Linked DNA regions of Xenopus tropicalis. The protein of the gene in region 1 interacts with the protein of each later gene in a biochemical or structural test. Links are inferred from orthologs where the notes say so. Each region holds a gene or a part of one and is shown in the gene's direction. Other genes may lie near its edges.

Region 1 (3,564 bases):
GTCGATTTTGGGCTTAAATAGGTTATAATTTATAGTAAGGGATTTCCAAGATCTTGCTAGAACTTGTCTTGCAGCCAGAAATATCTAGTTAATTTATCTCCTTTGTGTATTTGTCAGCCCTTGAGCTGGTGCTCCCATTAATGCGACATATGGGTCTCTTCACAGGTTAACGTTTAGGACTGCAAAGTTATATTCCCAAATCCAATATCTAGTTGCTTGTGGACAGGTCCACCATATATGGGCCATAGTCCCTGAGGGTATAATTATTTTTTATAATAATTTTGAACTACATTCCAACTATACTTTTTTTACATTGTAATTTCTAAAATAATCACAGACCTTATTAAATATTGACCTTTAATAGGATGCAACCCACTGTATTTACTCAGCAACAGAATGGATACTTGCTGATCCAAGACGTGGCCAGGGCCCCCACTCCTGAGCCAATCAGGAATATGAACTGTGACAGACAGCTGTACATTCCATCTGTGGATCTTCTTACTGCTCAGGTAAAAAACTGTCCCTTCTTGGTGGGGTTGGAGGCAATGGTATTAATTTCACCTAGTTATAACCAGTTTTCTTCTTACTTTCACCTTTTATTCTTACAGTTTATAAAGGTGCAGAGTTTACAAAACACACTTTTGGCTCACCTAATTAAATATTTACTCAGTCACACTTTAGTTCACATTTTCTATCTGTTTTCTTGAACAGGCAGCCATCTTTAAAAAGGTATTCTCCCTTCCTTTCCCTCCTTGCTTCATACTGCACATGTGTTTCATTCCCTCCCCCCCCCCCCCCCCAGCCTACAGGAAGGGGTGAGAGATTTCAGTGATGTCACTGTAGTCTTCACACTGCTGTAGGCTGCCAGCACCATATCTCAGAGAAGCAAGCAGATATCTGGGAATTTAGATATGCAGTAAATACTTAAAAAGAATGCCTTTAGACTTACTTTTAATTTATATTAATTTTTCCTTGTCCTTTAAGGGATGAGTTCACCTTTATTCTTTTGTTTAGGATTTGCTTTCATTTGAGTTGCTGGATATAAACATTGTCCAAGAACTGGAACATGTTCCTCATAATACTCCCATTGGTGAGTGCACTTTAAAGACTTTGTATGTATTAAGAGTAGAAGTAAACAAAAACACAGTGGCATGGTGGTGGTGGGAGGTAGGCTAATAGCTTGCAACAGGTATGTCTCATCCGGGTTTACAAAAGTGTGGCCCGTATTCCACAACAATGGCAAAAGAGCTGCAGTTTGCTTTTGCCTGATCTTAAGCAGCAGCGTGCATACAGGACTTAGAGGGCAGCTTAAATCCAAGGGCACTAAGAAGTATTCAAAAGTACAAAACTTGTCTCAGCATAAATTGCACCATCTTCACCTAATCTGGCAAATGCCAGAGGGGCTGCTATAAGATTCCATAGACAGTTGCTATTTATTGGGCCTGTGGTGGTAGCCTCAGTGTAGTTTAAAATGCCAGGTCTTGACTGGGATTCAAAATAGGCCCTGGCATTCCAAGTACAAAGATGCCCAAACAGCTCCCATCTGACAGCAGCCCCTCTAGCATTTGCTAAAATCCACAGATTGGTAGTCTGTGCCTGGTAAAAAAAAATCTTCCTTTCTTCCAATTTCAGAAATTTCCTTCCTTCCACTTTCAGCCATAAATTCTTTGGAAGGATATGAGAGATTATTATGTGGTCTGTTTAAATATTTATCATATCTCACCCCCCCAACAAGCCATTGTTGTTTAGCTTAATGGATGCATATTGGAAATAAGATATCCTTTCATTATGCAAAGGCAGTATTTGGATTCCAGTAGAACTAATATTATCTCGCTTCATGTTTTCTTGCAGCTAGTATGTATGCACCTGAATAGAAGAGAATATTTTCTGGTTGTAATGGTTGTTGTCAATCATACACAGAAACAGACACATTATTTGTATGGTTTTGGTTATTAGCATGCTCACCATTATACCAACAATGTTTTAATGATGGAACAACTCTGAACTTCTTTAGGTCTTTAAACTTGCTTTTATAAGCCTTTAATATCTTATATACTGATCCAGTTTTTCTTTCTAGATATGACTCCGTGCATGTCTCCTCTGACACACGATGGACCATTAATTGAGAATACAGGTTTGGGACAAACAGTTGAAGAGAGTAAAATGACTTTGCAAAAGACAGATAATAGTAAGGCCTTGCATATAACTGAGACAATATATAAATATATGTTGATATATGTTGATGATATGATCATGTGGCCACTGGAGCTCTTCACCAAAGGTTGGTTGTGGCCACAGGAAAGATTTTCCTGTGAACAAATGTATTGGATAATAAATGTATATATAATGAATTTATGTGATATCGGTTTAGTAGCATAGTTTTTCCATGAGTGGGCCAAAACTGCTTATCTGTTTGCAGTGATGCTGAGTTACACACTCAGTGATGCAGTGGTTAGTATTGCTGCCTTGCTAGGTTCTATTCCAGCTAAGGCACAGGCTTATTTATAAAGGCTGGGCAGATTTGCATCTGGGCGGTAACCCATGGCAACAAAAAGTTTACTTTTATTGTTCAACCTGCAGCTGCCTAAAAAGAAGCCATTCACTGATAAGTTACTATAAGTTACTGCCCTTGTGCAAATTTGCTGAGTCTTTATAAATGAGCCCCATCTCCAACATTTTGGTATTGGTGCCCTCTGAAGACACAGGCCCTTTTTTTTTTTTCACTCAGGTGAGTTTATTAAAGGGTGAACATAGAAAAATCATACATTTGGTTTAGCATTGATACATGAAAAAGATGGTACATAGCTTGGTAACAGAGTAAATTGCGAGGGTATAGGATCAATGTTTCCAGAATAACAGACATATTAAGTACAGTTTTGTATGGTTTTTACAGTAGCCTATTTTACTGTACATTTTTAGCGTGGTCATTCACTTATAGCTATATTCCACTTATTCCATACTTTTTCATATTTTTTGTGATTTCCATTTCTTTTGTATGCGGCCTTTTCTATTTTATTCAAATCCTCAACTAACTCATGCCATTGGTCATATGTTGGAGGGTCAGGGCATTTCCAGAGCCTGGTGACCCATTTCCTAGCTATAAATACAACGTAGTACTTTTTGTAGGTACTGTATGTCTGTGCTGGGTAGTTTCAGTGATGTAGTGATGCCCAGCAGACAGACATATGTGATAATGTAGTCTATAGAAACATCAATGTGTGTTTTATATGGCTCCTTTTTTTTCAGGACTAAGTAAGTTTCTCGATAACAAAGAAAACACTGCGGCACAGGATGAAGAAGAAATCAGCGGAACCCAGTTTGTGTGTGAAACAGTAATACGCAGTCTCACGCTAGATGCAGCCCCGGATTACAACCTACCTCAAAGGAAGCCCTCGCCCCACAGTGGGTTCCATGTTGATACAATACTGTAAAGGTCATAGAGGCCTGATGGTGGGAGATAGGCATCCCTTGGGTTTCTGGATATAGGATCTCATACTCAGTGAAACCTGCATCTCATATTCTTTTTCAAAAAGTAATAGGATCTGAATAATGTGGGTCATATTA
Region 2 (4,346 bases), about 22 Mb from region 1:
AACACTGGGGTCCTGAGTTCAATTTCACCTTGGAATCCACAACCCACTCAAGAAGTACAGTTACTGAACTAAACCCACCCAACCTGCAGGTTTCAGGCCTGTGCACCCCTTGTGTGCTTTGCAGACATTTTTATTAGACCTGCACTGCTTTTGGCCCAGGAATGTTCCTGTAGAAGAAGCAAACCTTGCAACTGCCCACGGCCCAAGAGGAATAGGGGCCTAGTGGGGCACTGACTGATTTGCAGACGATATATGTTTATGAAAAATGTCTTATACCCAAAGTCAGACCCTACCGAAGAAGTAGTGGCACCCAAGGCAATATTACTTAACCCAGTGCCGCGATTGCCCCATTCAACTTCAATCCCCCACATTTGTCATTGGTCCACAGCCTACCCTGGGCTGCCCACTACCCCCCTGCTTGCTCCCCCTGCCCTTCGGTCTCTCCCTACCCCATAGATCACTATCCCTAGTTTCAGCTCTGCATTAAGTATACGGGGGCCATAATCAACACACCAGAGGCCCCCCCTTTAGATTAGAGGAACAGAGCTTCCATTTGAAGCAGTGTAGGGGGTTTTTCACGGGGAGGGCAGTGAGGTTGGGGAATGCCCTTCCTAGTGATGGGGTAATGGCAGACTCTGTTAATGCCTATAAGAGGGGCCTGGATGAGTTCTTGATCAATCAGAATATCCATGGCTATTGTGATACTAATATCTACAGTTAGTATTACTGGTTGTATATATAGTTTATGTATGTGAGTGTATAGATTGGTAAGTATAGGTTGTGGGTGCTGGGTTTACTTGGAAGGGTTGAACTTGATGGACTCTGGTCTTTTTTCAACCCTATGTAACTATGTATAATATAATGCTTTTTTTGATGGCTAGTAACTTTTAGCTATGCCACTGTTTCTGCCCATACAATTCCAAGGCAATGGGAGTATATTATATTGGATTTACATCCCTGTATAACTGCTGCAGGGGCACATTAATAAACATCCTACTGAATACACTGAAAGCCTCTTGTTTGGCATAAAATTTATTTTACCGTTTTAGAAACGTACCCAGTGCTATTTCAACTGGATTGGAAGGAAAACACTGTGCCCCGTGTGAGGATCGAACTCACGACCTTCAGATTATGAGACTGACGCGCTACCTACTGCGCTAACGAGGCGACGGGCGCTAAAAGTATAATGACCCAATAAGAGAGTGGGCAATGCGATGTACTATCCTGTATTGCGCTATGTAGTTATATTCTTGCTATTAATGAGACGCTATATAGTACTGAGTGTAATGTATAGTACTGAGTGTAAGTGTGGCTGCCCCTAGTATGGAACAGAGCGGAGAATGCAGGGAGGGAGCCGTAACATAGGCGTTTAAGCGCCAGGGTGCTGTTACGCAGAATGGCCAGCAGGGGGCACCCTTTGCTCATATATGAGCCTGAGCGCCTCCGTGACGTCATGTTGTTACATTGTATCCGCACAGAGCCAGCCGAGAGTGGGGAGAGACGCACAAAGGGGCGAACAGAAGCCAAAGGCAGAGAGAGACTGGGCGAGTCGGGCTGAGTGCTAGCTTCTGGGACTCACACCCCTCAGGATGCCGTCAGAGCGGCCCTTTAAGCACAGGAGAACCTTCGGTGAGTGTTTGCCCACTGTGGGGGGGTGAGGGTGGCACCGCGGGGCTTGGGGGCCATACTGGCACTGAGGAGGCGCCCCTAAGGAACAGGGGGGGTTAAACCGGTCCTGATCAGCTGCGATCCTAATGTGGCTATGGCTGCCAGTCGCCACCAGACCGGGGGAGCCAGTGTAGTGTTTGCCCAAAGTGCCCCATAATAACGGGACAGGTTTAGGGGCTGCGGGGATTGTACCCTCCTCCCCCCAATAGGGCTTTGTCCCACCTGCCGCTCACTGACTGGCTTTGCCTGCACATTATCGGGACATGTTTCCATCTGGCACATCCCAGTCTCCTTCCTCAACAACAACTGGCAGCTTTCCTTCTGCCCGGGCCTGTCCTGTTCATCAGCATTTGCTGTGGGTATGGCACATTGCTTAGCAGCAGTCTCAGTATCGGGACAGGCCAGACAGGACAGGGGTTCTGTAGGAAAGGGGGGCACCCTCTCTGTGCCACAGGCCATGCCCTGTATATTGTAATGTGAGTGGTGGGACTGCAGTTTATTGGGACAGGCCAGACAGGGCAGGGGTTCTGTAGGAAAGGGGGGCACCCTCTCTGTGCCACAGGCAATGCCCCGTATATTGTAATGTGAGTGGTGGGACTGCAGTTTATTGGGACAGGCTCAAACAGGGCAGGGGTTCTGTAGGAAAGGGGGTGCACATATTATTGTTATTATTATTATTATTATTAGTTGGACATAATCTCATTATTGCTGATGATTATCAGGACAGGCTCAGGCAGCCCCTTGTTCCTGTTTAATGTACAGTGACCAGACTCCTGATATCAGGACAGGCTCAGGCAGCCCAGTGTTTGTGTTTAATGTACAGTGACCAGACTCCTGATATCAGGACAGGCTCAGGCAGCCCAGTGTTTATGTTTAATGTACAGTGACCAGACTCCTGATATCAGGACAGGCTCAGGCAGCCCAGTGTTTATGTTTAATGTACAGTGACCAGACTGCTGATATCAGGACAGGCTCAGGCAGCCCAGTGTTTGTGTTTAATGTACAGTGACCAGACATCTAATATCAGGACAGGCTCAGGCAGCCCAGTGTTTGTGTTTAATGTACAGTGACCAGACTGCTGATATCAGGACAGGCTCAGGCAGCCCAGTGTTTGTGTTTAATGTACAGTGACCAGACTCCTGATATCAGGACAGGCACAAGCAGCCCAGTGTTTGTGTTTAATGTACAGTGACCAGACTCCTGATATCAGGACAGGCACAAGCAGCCCAGTGTTTGTGTTTAATGTACAGTGACCAGACTCCTGATATCAGGACAGGCTCAGGCAGCCCAGTGTTTGTGTTTAATGTACAGTGACCAGACTCCTGATATCAGGACAGGCTCAGGCAGCCCAGTGTTTGTGTTTAATGTACAGTGACCAGACTCCTGATATCAGGACAGGCTCAGGCAGCCCAGTGTTTATGTTTAATGTACAGTGACCAGACTCCTGATATCAGGACAGGCACAAGCAGCCCAGTGTTTGTGTTTAATGTACAGTGACCAGACTCCTGATATCAGGACAGGCTCAGGCAGCCCAGTGTTTGTGTTTAATGTACAGTGACCAGACTGCTGATATCAGGACAGGCTCAGGCAGCCCAGTGTTTATGTTTAATGTACAGTGACCAGACTGCTGATATCAGGACAGGCTCAGGCAGCCCAGTGTTTGTGTTTAATGTACAGTGACCAGACTCCTGATATCAGGACAGGCTCAGGCAGCCCAGTGTTTATGTTTAATGTACAGTGACCAGACTCCTGATATCAGGACAGGCTCAGGCAGCCCAGTGTTTATGTTTAATGTACAGTGACCAGACTCCTGATATCAGGACAGGCTCAGGCAGCCCAGTGTTTATGTTTAATGTACAGTGACCAGACTCCTGATATCAGGACAGGCTCAGGCAGCCCAGTGTTTATGTTTAATGTACAGTGACCAGACTCCTGATATCAGGACAGGCTCAGGCAGCCCAGTGTTTATGTTTAATGTACAGTGACCAGACTCCTGATATCAGGACAGGCTCAGGCAGCCCAGTGTTTATGTTTAATGTACAGTGACCAGACTGCTGATATCAGGACAGGCTCAGGCAGCCCAGTGTTTGTGTTTAATGTACAGTGACCAGACTCCTGATATCAGGACAGGCTCAGGCAGCCCAGTGTTTATGTTTAATGTACAGTGACCAGACTGCTGATATCAGGACAGGCTCAGGCAGCCCAGTGTTTGTGTTTAATGTACAGTGACCAGACATCTGATATCAGGACAGGCTCAGGCAGCCCAGTGTTTGTGTTTAATGTACAGTGACCAGACATCTGATATCAGGACAGGCTCAGGCAGCCCAGTGTTTATGTTTAATGTACAGTGACCAGACATCTGATATCAGGACAGGCTCAGGCAGCCCAGTGTTTGTGTTTAATGTACAGTGACCAGACTGCTGATATCAGGACAGGCTCAGGCAGCCCCGTCCGTGTTTCTGTATAATGTACAGTGACCAAACTGCTGATATCAGGACAGGCTAAGTCTAGGCTGGCTGTGGATTTATCAAAAATGGCTAGAACAGACCTGAGTTACCATTTAATGTGCCAATGGCCTGACTGCAAATAAACAGGACAGGTATAACAATTCTGTTTGTATTACTTAATGTACAAGGACTGCTGATAAAGCAAGTAATCAGGACAGGCTCAGACAGGGC
Region 3 (4,259 bases), on another chromosome or scaffold:
TACCGCTGGTCACGCACGCATGCGCACTCGGGGGGGGTGCCCTGGGTGCCGTGCTGCCAGGTGTCTTTATCCTGCCAAGACTCATTAGAGGTGGGATAAACTGGTGGGCATCCTCTCTTGCTGTCCTCAGAGTGTGGTACTGCTATTTCCTCAATGTGAGTATGATCTATGACCCTGTGAGCTAATTGTCTAGGACAAATAAATCAGTTACTGTTTGTTTCATTAGCAAGAACCTTCTGGTGTCCATTCTTTCCAATTACTTTGAAAACAACATAAGTGAGTTACAGTTATATCCAAGGATATTTCCACTTAGCAAAAGCCCATCTGACGTGTAGGGCCCTATGTACACCATGATCTAAAGCCATTCTAGCCGGCGCTGCCTGTTTTTACAGCCAAATAGGGGTTACACATACATTTATAGTGCAGCTGAGGAACTATACAGAGGCTGACATTTGTGGGCGTGACATTAAGTGGGTGTGGCACAAAACAAAAATTTTGTATTACGTTAACCCCGGATTTCATTTTCAAAATCTGGTCACCTTATCATAATACTTATTCAGGTGTGCGCTCTCTATCTTTCTTTTGCGTCAGGCAAACCGACTTACATCGAAAATAAACAAGCAAGTATATATAAATGACAGTGTCATCTAAGGGGTGGTTACTAAAACATTTATTTTTATTTTAAAGAAACCATGAATAAACTCATTTCCTGTCATTTATAAAAAGATCTGAACTGGAAAAAGTCGCAAAAACCACAGCTTTTTTGACTTTTCGCATAATAACCGCAACTTTTTTGACTTGTTACAAAAATATCAGTGACAAAACCCCCCAAAAACCAGGAAGCAAAGCAAGATCTTTCAGTTGTAAAAGGAACATCTGCCACTGACTTCTGTATATTGAAAGGTTTTAGCAGGAGTGTTTTTCACATTTGGAATTGTCAGTTTTGTCACATAATAAATCTCAGAAACGTTTAGTAAATGCCCACTCAAGTTCCAAAGTTCCCTTGCTCCAATGCTTGGTTAACAAAAAAAAATAAAAACAAGAAACATTCATGATTGCAACATTATTACCCCATTTACACAGGGTTAGTTGTCATCTCTGTGGAGGATAAATAGGAGATGACTTTCATACACAAATATTTCGCATTCAAAATAACCAGAGGAACCTCTAGGGTTAAGTCGCTATGATATTTTTCACGAAGAATAAGCTGATTGCTGCTAAACATTACTGTGCGACTGATCACTACAGTTCAGCATCAGCTTAACCCCTATAACCCCACGGAAAATACGTTTTTGTTTTGCTCCTGTTTTAGCCGACGAAACCCCTCCCATGTGCTTATTATTAACCATAATGGGAGGTACTGGAAACCCCAGGGCGCCCTGACCCGGAAGTGTCGTCATCGGGAGACTCCGCCTTATTGTTATTGTCGTCGCTGTCATCTGTCGGTACCATGAAGTGGATGTTCAAGGAAGACCATTCGCTGGGTGAGAACGGGGAAAGTTCGGGGGGTAGCCCATTACCTTTACTGTACTAATCTGGCAACACTACCTGAAGTTACCTCTGTATACTCTAAAGCGGTCGCTGCTAGCCCACCTTCATCGCCCCCGCCCTATAGGCACAGGCTACACCTCGTAGCGCTGCCCTTCCATCTAGTAGCGACTATTCCCATCCCCCGCAGTTTGTTTGTTGGTACTGACTGTACCCTCCCAGGCTTTGTCCTCTAACCTTATTTTACCATTAGTGTGTTTATCTCTCTGAAAGATAAAAACATATAAACCCTGGCCCTTTTTTTCTCATTAATCAACCGTGATCTCATCAACTTCAGTTTCTCAGTCACATCTATAATAACATTCCCTAGAGCCCATGGAATTGTGCTTTGAGCTCCAAATGCTGCAGTTTTTGTAAAACTCTTGTCATGAGACATCAGATTGTAAATAGGTCCAAGTGGCAGTAATTGCATTGAAATGGTGGTTAGGTCAGTTTGAACAAAAAACAGCAAAATTGCCTCTACACTATTTTATATGGTCACCAAATGGGTGCAGCTATATTCAGTAATGTTTATCAGTATATATCCTATGTGTAATATTTAACAACAAATACCTAACTGCTTACCAAAGGTTATGGTATGTTTGCTCCACCTTGTCACTCATATGCTTGTTTTTGCTTTTAACTTTCCTGACCACACATCCCTTTCTACTCTATATTGTTTTTTTTTACAACCATTGGTACTAAATTACACAACTACTTCCAGCTTTGCTTTACCAGCTCAGCTGTTGGGGGGAATAAAGAAAAATGTATTCTTTTTATTTTACTTGTGGAACACCAAAGAATACCTATAGTGTCCTTGCAAAGGCCTGTCTTAAAAAAACAAAATATGAAAAAGTTTTTCCATAAAGGACTTGAGGATTGGTTTGTTTTTATCTTTGTGCACCATTTGTGTTTAGCATAGCAAGAACCCATACATGTGTTGAGCCTATTATCCAGAATGCTTGTGACTGGGGGTTTTCTGGAAAAGGGGTCTTTCTGTTATTTGGATCTTAATACCTAAAGTCAACTAAAAAATCTTTTAAATATGAAATAAACCCAATATGATATGTTGGGATCAAGCAATCAATCTAAGTGCGGCTCAGTTCTCAAAATAAACTAATAAGTGCTGACCATGAATATTCCATAGCCTGGATGTGTACAACCCTGGGCTAGACATGGGAATCAGATTACCTGATGAAGTGATTGTCCCGTGTATATAAACCCCAGGTCCCAATCTCACAGGCCAGCCGATACAAATTAATTTCAAATAATTTAGGAATAGAGTGCACTCGCAGTTATTTTTGAGTGGCCTGGTTGCATTATTCCCAACCCATAGCTGTAGGGGAAGTGCAAGGATAAGCAGAAACAGCAAGCACACCTGCCACTTGTAAAGAAAAAATCCAATTTTATTTTAACCAATAGAACATCTTTAGTTGGGATCAAGTACAAGGTACTGTTTTATTATCGCAGGGAAAATAGAAATCGTTTTTAAAAAATAAATTATTTGCCTTAAAGGACATGTAAACCCCGCACAAACAGCCTCTTTGAAATCTTTCAATACCTGCCACTCTGGTTGTCCAGAGGTTAATAGTAAGGCTGCAACATCTCCATAAACACTTATATTTCCTTCTCCTCCTGTAATCCACTCAGCCCCCTCCCTCAGGAATTTGCTTTAATTTCTGGCTTGTGGGCATGCTCAGTTGTTCTAAACTCAGATTACTAAACATGCCCTCCAGTCTAGCAACCAGTGAAGAGATGGCATTGCTGGTTCCCATAGAAACTCAGCTCTAGCTGGCTGCTTCAGTTTTTTTCTCCTGAGCTCAGCTTTACCATTACAGTGCTCAAACAAAGCAGAACTTTTATCAGAACCTGTATTCTTGATGAAATGTATGCTGAATAAGGGTCTGTGTCTGCTGTTTGCAGATTTAAATGTAACTCATTATGTATCAGAGGAAAAATGGCCACCGGGTGAAAACTGCTGTTTGCTTTAGGAAAATGTGATGGTGCTGGCAAGTGGAGGGGATACATGCTGTACAAATAATGCCATTTGGGTGGGGGAGACGTGCCCAACTGATGTACATTGTAGGCAAATGTAGGCTTTGCATGTCCTTTAAATAGAGTCTAAAGGAGATTACCGTAATTTGGTACTTTCTAAAGAATGAGTTTGAGGGTAACGGATCCCATAACTTTACTGTAGTTAACACCAATTTACAGTATTTTCCTGTAATATTAATGAACAACACATTAATGTCCCAATCAAGAATGAAACATGTCAGTGTGGAGAGCTGAGTGTCAGTGAACTACCGGTATATGTTCCTGGCTAGAAATAGGTATCTTTGCTGTAAATGTCGCCCACCACATGATCTGCATGTTGATTTCCTGCATACAGAAGGCCCTGAAGCCCGTTCGTAGCCAGCTATAAATAGTACAAAAACAAGTAGCTCATTATATAGATATATTACTCATAAGACATGAATGGGCTGCTGTTGACGGTAAGGAAGTAAACAAAGTGAAAATGATACTGAATACTATAAGCACAAATACTTTTTTTTAAAATAACATTCCTAAATTTTCCTATTTCAGAACACAGGTGTGTGGAGTCCGCAAAAATCAGAGCCAAGTATCCAGATCGGGTTCCGGTAACCTCTTTTATTTTGCTTTTCTTTTTTGAATGATTACCTATTCAGACTGTAATTGTTGTTATGAAAGCTACAAACAGTGACACACTAGTG
Region 4 (4,292 bases), on another chromosome or scaffold:
AAGCTAAATAAAATACCAAATAAAGGAAATGCCTCACTCCCAAACAAAATAATTTCTACCTTAAAGACATATCAACAAAAAATCAATAAGGGTTTTTATGCAGTTTGCAGCCTAGGGGCTCTTTCACATGGGTATTTTGTGCATTTAAGCATACCAACTGCATCAGCTAATTGTATACTGCATTAATTTATAACTACAAATGTACAAAGTGTTTTACACATCGTAAACAAATATAGTGTTATAGTTATCAGGGCTCTTGCACAGAGGTGAAAGGCTGCATGTTGTGTCTCACCTTGGCTTTAAGACCCTGTCAGTACAACCTCTATTGGAATGAATGGGCTCCTCTAACTCATGTGTTCCATTTTGGTGCAAAGCATAAAAAAAAAACACAATTTTTATTACACAGTTGGGATAGGGTCCCTAATACATTGCATTTTATCCTGATTGGCTGTACCCACCTGCATCCAAATCAGTGTTTTAGCACATTGTGTTTTATATAATGCAATAAAATAGAGATATGCATGTTGAACTTAGCAAAAACACACTTCGTTGCATATAAATGCAATAGGTTATGGCGCACAGTATGCATTTTAGACACACACATTCCTATGAGAGCCCTTCATTTTATTTTTCCCTTTGTCTCACTTTTTTTAAATAAATCAAATAGAGCAAATTCCCCACTAAATAAAAAAGCAATCCTAATTTTTGAGAAACAGAAAAAGACCAAATTTACCCACTAGAAGGGTTTTCATGCACCTTCTTAAGCACATACTGCAGATATTTTAGCAGCCCACAAGCAGTAACTTTTCTAGAAGTCTACCTTTTTAAAGGAATTTTAAAAGGAATGTTATTTAGAGTGGCTCTTTGTTATCATACATGTTAAGATTCAACTTTTAAATATGCAGACATAAAAAAACCCATTGTGTATTGTTTTTTAAAATATAAAAAATATAAGTAAATGTTGGCAAGTATTTTTGTAATACCATATAAATACATGCTGGTTTGCTTTGTTAAATGAGAGTGGGTAATTACCCATCTGTTTAATTCATGGCAGCTTTGCAGAACACAATTAAGAAGAAGAAACAACCAAGGCAGAATCACGCTGTGCATGTTTGGCTTAAATACCTGAGCACAATATATTTGTTTTCTTTAGTAGCAGCCTGAAATTAATCTTATTATCTATTAGTCTGATATTTTAAAAAACAGACATTTCTGTTGTTGTTTAACTGATGCTATTTAGAGAATTGTATTTCATGATTCTAACTGCCAGTTAAGTCCCACCCCTTTGTGGCAGTAAATTTGAAACTATATACTACTGCCACACCTATATAAACTGAGCAGCAGAAAGCAATACCATTTTGTTAAGGTTGCTATAACCTCCCCACCCCCCCTCAAAAAAAAACAAAAAACAAAAAAAAGAAACCCTGTAACAATTTTTTTTATTTCAAACTATGCAGTCTAACCAAAAAAACTCTCAGCCTTTTAAGCAGAGAAAGAGTCTGGGTAAATTCCATTATATTGCTTTGTTCTAAATGAAGCATTATCATTATTGCTTAATGAGGAATTATTATTATTTCACAGCATCCAGAAAAGAAGAAGTCATTGGAATAAAGGCAAAATTTCCAACAAAAATCCCGGTAAATAATTATTCTTTTTATTCTGTGTATTTTGTTAATAGGATAATAATAATAGAATAATAGAATGGAAACTGTATCTTTCTCTGCACTAATGATACTCTGAAGAGGGCTATGTCTTTGCAGTTTACATGTATAAAAAAAAAAATATTTACTAAATGTGCTTGACTTCCAGCAATTTTTATTTCAGGTGATTGTTGAAAGATACCGCCGAGAAAAATATCTACCCCTATTAGACAAAACAAAATTTCTTGTTCCCAAGGACCTCTCTATGATGCAGTTTATTAATATTATTAGGTATGTGGCTTTCTTGTTAATTCCTAAGTATGTTTACTGCCAAACATTAGATTGGTTTATTGCTGGTTAAGTAAATAAGTAGAGACTATAAATTGTATGGATTTAGTGAATATATCCAATAATCAACTGTTTGCAATGTCAAAATGTTTGTCTTCTATAATCTGTTATTTGCTGTAAATGAAAGTCAAATTATACATGAGGATTCTGTTATTCTTAAACATGCCATCTATTCTTTTTATAATATAGTTTAATAATATGTGCCCAATTTCACCTGCAGCCAATCTAGAGTTGCCAAATAATTAAATATGCCTAAGATAGGGCTGCATAGATTTGAAAGCAGACATGCAGAAAACATACAAGGCTTTCTTAAGTAAAGTACCAATAACACCAAAAACTAAAAGGGGTTTTGTATGTATTTATATATTGTAAAATTCTGTGTATTTACTTTGAAAGGACAAGAAACCAATTTAACCTGTTAAGACACTCAAAAAAAACAAGGACAAAAAAAAACCGTGTTGGACCTGTTAAAACCACTTTGTAGGGAATAGGACTAAATACATACCTTTAGCCATATTTAATGTGTAAACAAAATGTCATTTGTGGATAAAAATGGTATCCAGTTAAATCAATTAAAGAACCCTACACTCATAAGTTTAATTTATTTGGTTGTTGTCCCCAGGGAGGTGCTTCAAGTCAGTTCCTGGGGGGCCCAATTTAACGGCTGTCAACCAACCACATGTCAGGAGGGGAGATAATGATCCACTCCAAGACTTTTTTGAACCTTATTTCAGGTTCTCATTTAGTGTGAAGAGGAATTCAGCAATAAAAAATAGGACTGGATCGCTATCTCCCTCATGATATGGGTTTGGTTGACCGCTTTGCATTTAGTGAGGAGGTGCCAGGAATTATTATAAATAAGCTAAAATATGTCAAGGAAGGGACTATTAAAGGTGAATTGTGTTATAGGGCAGTGCTGTCCCCCTCTGTGTGGCCCCCCCACCTGTCTGGCTGCTTAGATGGCTTACCTTTGTATAAGCTTTAAATGGTATCAGTACTGAGATTAACTGGCCCCCTGAATGGTTCTCAACTCAGATTCAGGCTGTAATCCCCCTGTATTGTTTAAATATGTAATCCCCTGTGTTGTTCACACCTTTTAATCCTTACATTGTTCACCCCCTGCAGTGTTCACACCTCAGGCTCAGGCTGTAATCACCCCCATTGTTCACCTGTTCACACCTCAGACATTGTAGGTAGTCCCTGAACTATGCTGCCTGTGTGTATGGCACACACAGGCAGCATAGGGCAGGCAGAGTATGGCGCACACACAGGCAGCATAGGGCAGGCAGAGTATGGCACAGACAGGCAGGGTAGGGCAGGCAGAGCATGGCACACACAGGCAGCACAGGGCAGGGAGGGTATGGCACACACAGGCAGCATAGGGCAGGCAGAGTATGGCACACACAGGCAGTGTAGGGCAGGCAGAGTATGGCACACACAGGCAGCACTCTGCCTGCCCTACCCTGCCGGTGTGTGCCATACTCTGCCTGCCCTATGCTGCTTGTGGGAGGTGAACCTGGCAGGGGTTTGTTGTGGGAGTTTGTTTGCAGTTGGAAATAGCCATTAAATGGCCCCTCAGGTGTGTAATTATGTGCTGGGTGCTATCCACAGGGGAGGAGGAGGCATATGGATTTTAATGGTATATCTTAATATGACATAATGTAATTCTTTCACATATGAATGACGGTTGACCAAGCATTTGGGATTTTGCTGTGCTACCACTATTGTGATAAAATAGGTCTGGTTTGATGTGGTTTTAAAAAGGGGAGTGGTCAAAATGGCTTCTATTAGCAGCCCTCCTCCATGTATGCTAGAGCAATTCCGGCCCTCTGCACCGCAGAAGTTGGACAGCACTATTATAGGGCATACATTTACATCTATTATGGCACCAATGTATTGGGGAAAAAGGATGATGTAATTCCAAATTTTTAAAATTGAATTACGATCTCAGCCTGGAAATTATAGGCCCATCTATGTGGCATCTGTAGTGTGCAAGTTAATTTATAGTTTGTTAAAGGGGATGTCGGCCTTTTGCAAAGTTCTACCAGGTGGAACAGATGGAAAAAAATGGAGCAATTTCTTAGGGGAAATAGGGATGCACCAAATCCAGAATTCGGCCTTTTTCAGCAGGATTTGGTTTTGGGCAAATCCACGCTCCAGGCTGAACCAAATCCTTAAAATCATGTGACTTTTTGTCACAAAACTTGGAATTGGAATTTTTTTACACCGGTGGACGGTTCTCTTTGGCACTTCTGTATAGATACAGAAGTGCAAAAGAGAACTGTTTGGTATTCGGCCAAATCT

Evidence for each region.
Region 2: the proteins of nbr1 (region 1) and map1lc3a form a complex in vitro, tested with the Homo sapiens proteins (2 studies listed by BioGRID and IntAct). The link is inferred for Xenopus tropicalis from reciprocal best matches to the Homo sapiens genes NBR1 and MAP1LC3A.
Region 3: the proteins of nbr1 (region 1) and gabarapl2 form a complex in vitro, tested with the Homo sapiens proteins (2 studies listed by IntAct). The link is inferred for Xenopus tropicalis from reciprocal best matches to the Homo sapiens genes NBR1 and GABARAPL2.
Region 4: the proteins of nbr1 (region 1) and map1lc3c form a complex in vitro, tested with the Homo sapiens proteins (2 studies listed by IntAct). The link is inferred for Xenopus tropicalis from reciprocal best matches to the Homo sapiens genes NBR1 and MAP1LC3C.

The regions. Positions count from the first base shown.
Region 1 is NC_030686.2:19,638,802-19,642,365, forward strand, and holds part of nbr1 (next to BRCA1 gene 1 protein), read left to right. Parts: intron 1-389; coding exon 390-509; intron 510-1,014; coding exon 1,015-1,090; intron 1,091-2,077; coding exon 2,078-2,188; intron 2,189-3,246; coding exon 3,247-3,402; intron 3,403-3,564. UniProt on the Homo sapiens protein: Ubiquitin-binding autophagy adapter that participates in different processes including host defense or intracellular homeostasis.
Region 2 is NC_030686.2:41,178,481-41,182,826, reverse strand, and holds the start of map1lc3a (microtubule-associated proteins 1A/1B light chain 3A), read left to right. Parts: upstream 1-1,531; 5' UTR 1,532-1,589; coding exon 1,590-1,629; intron 1,630-4,346. UniProt on the Homo sapiens protein: Ubiquitin-like modifier involved in formation of autophagosomal vacuoles (autophagosomes). While LC3s are involved in elongation of the phagophore membrane, the GABARAP/GATE-16 subfamily is essential for a later stage in autophagosome maturation.
Region 3 is NC_030680.2:64,266,551-64,270,809, forward strand, and holds the start of gabarapl2 (gamma-aminobutyric acid receptor-associated protein-like 2), read left to right. Parts: upstream 1-1,441; 5' UTR 1,442-1,450; coding exon 1,451-1,484; intron 1,485-4,110; coding exon 4,111-4,166; intron 4,167-4,259. UniProt on the Homo sapiens protein: Ubiquitin-like modifier involved in intra-Golgi traffic. Modulates intra-Golgi transport through coupling between NSF activity and SNAREs activation. It first stimulates the ATPase activity of NSF which in turn stimulates the association with GOSR1.
Region 4 is NC_030681.2:57,424,545-57,428,836, reverse strand, and holds the start of map1lc3c (microtubule-associated proteins 1A/1B light chain 3C), read left to right. Parts: upstream 1-1,432; 5' UTR 1,433-1,451; coding exon 1,452-1,503; intron 1,504-1,581; coding exon 1,582-1,637; intron 1,638-1,824; coding exon 1,825-1,931; intron 1,932-4,292.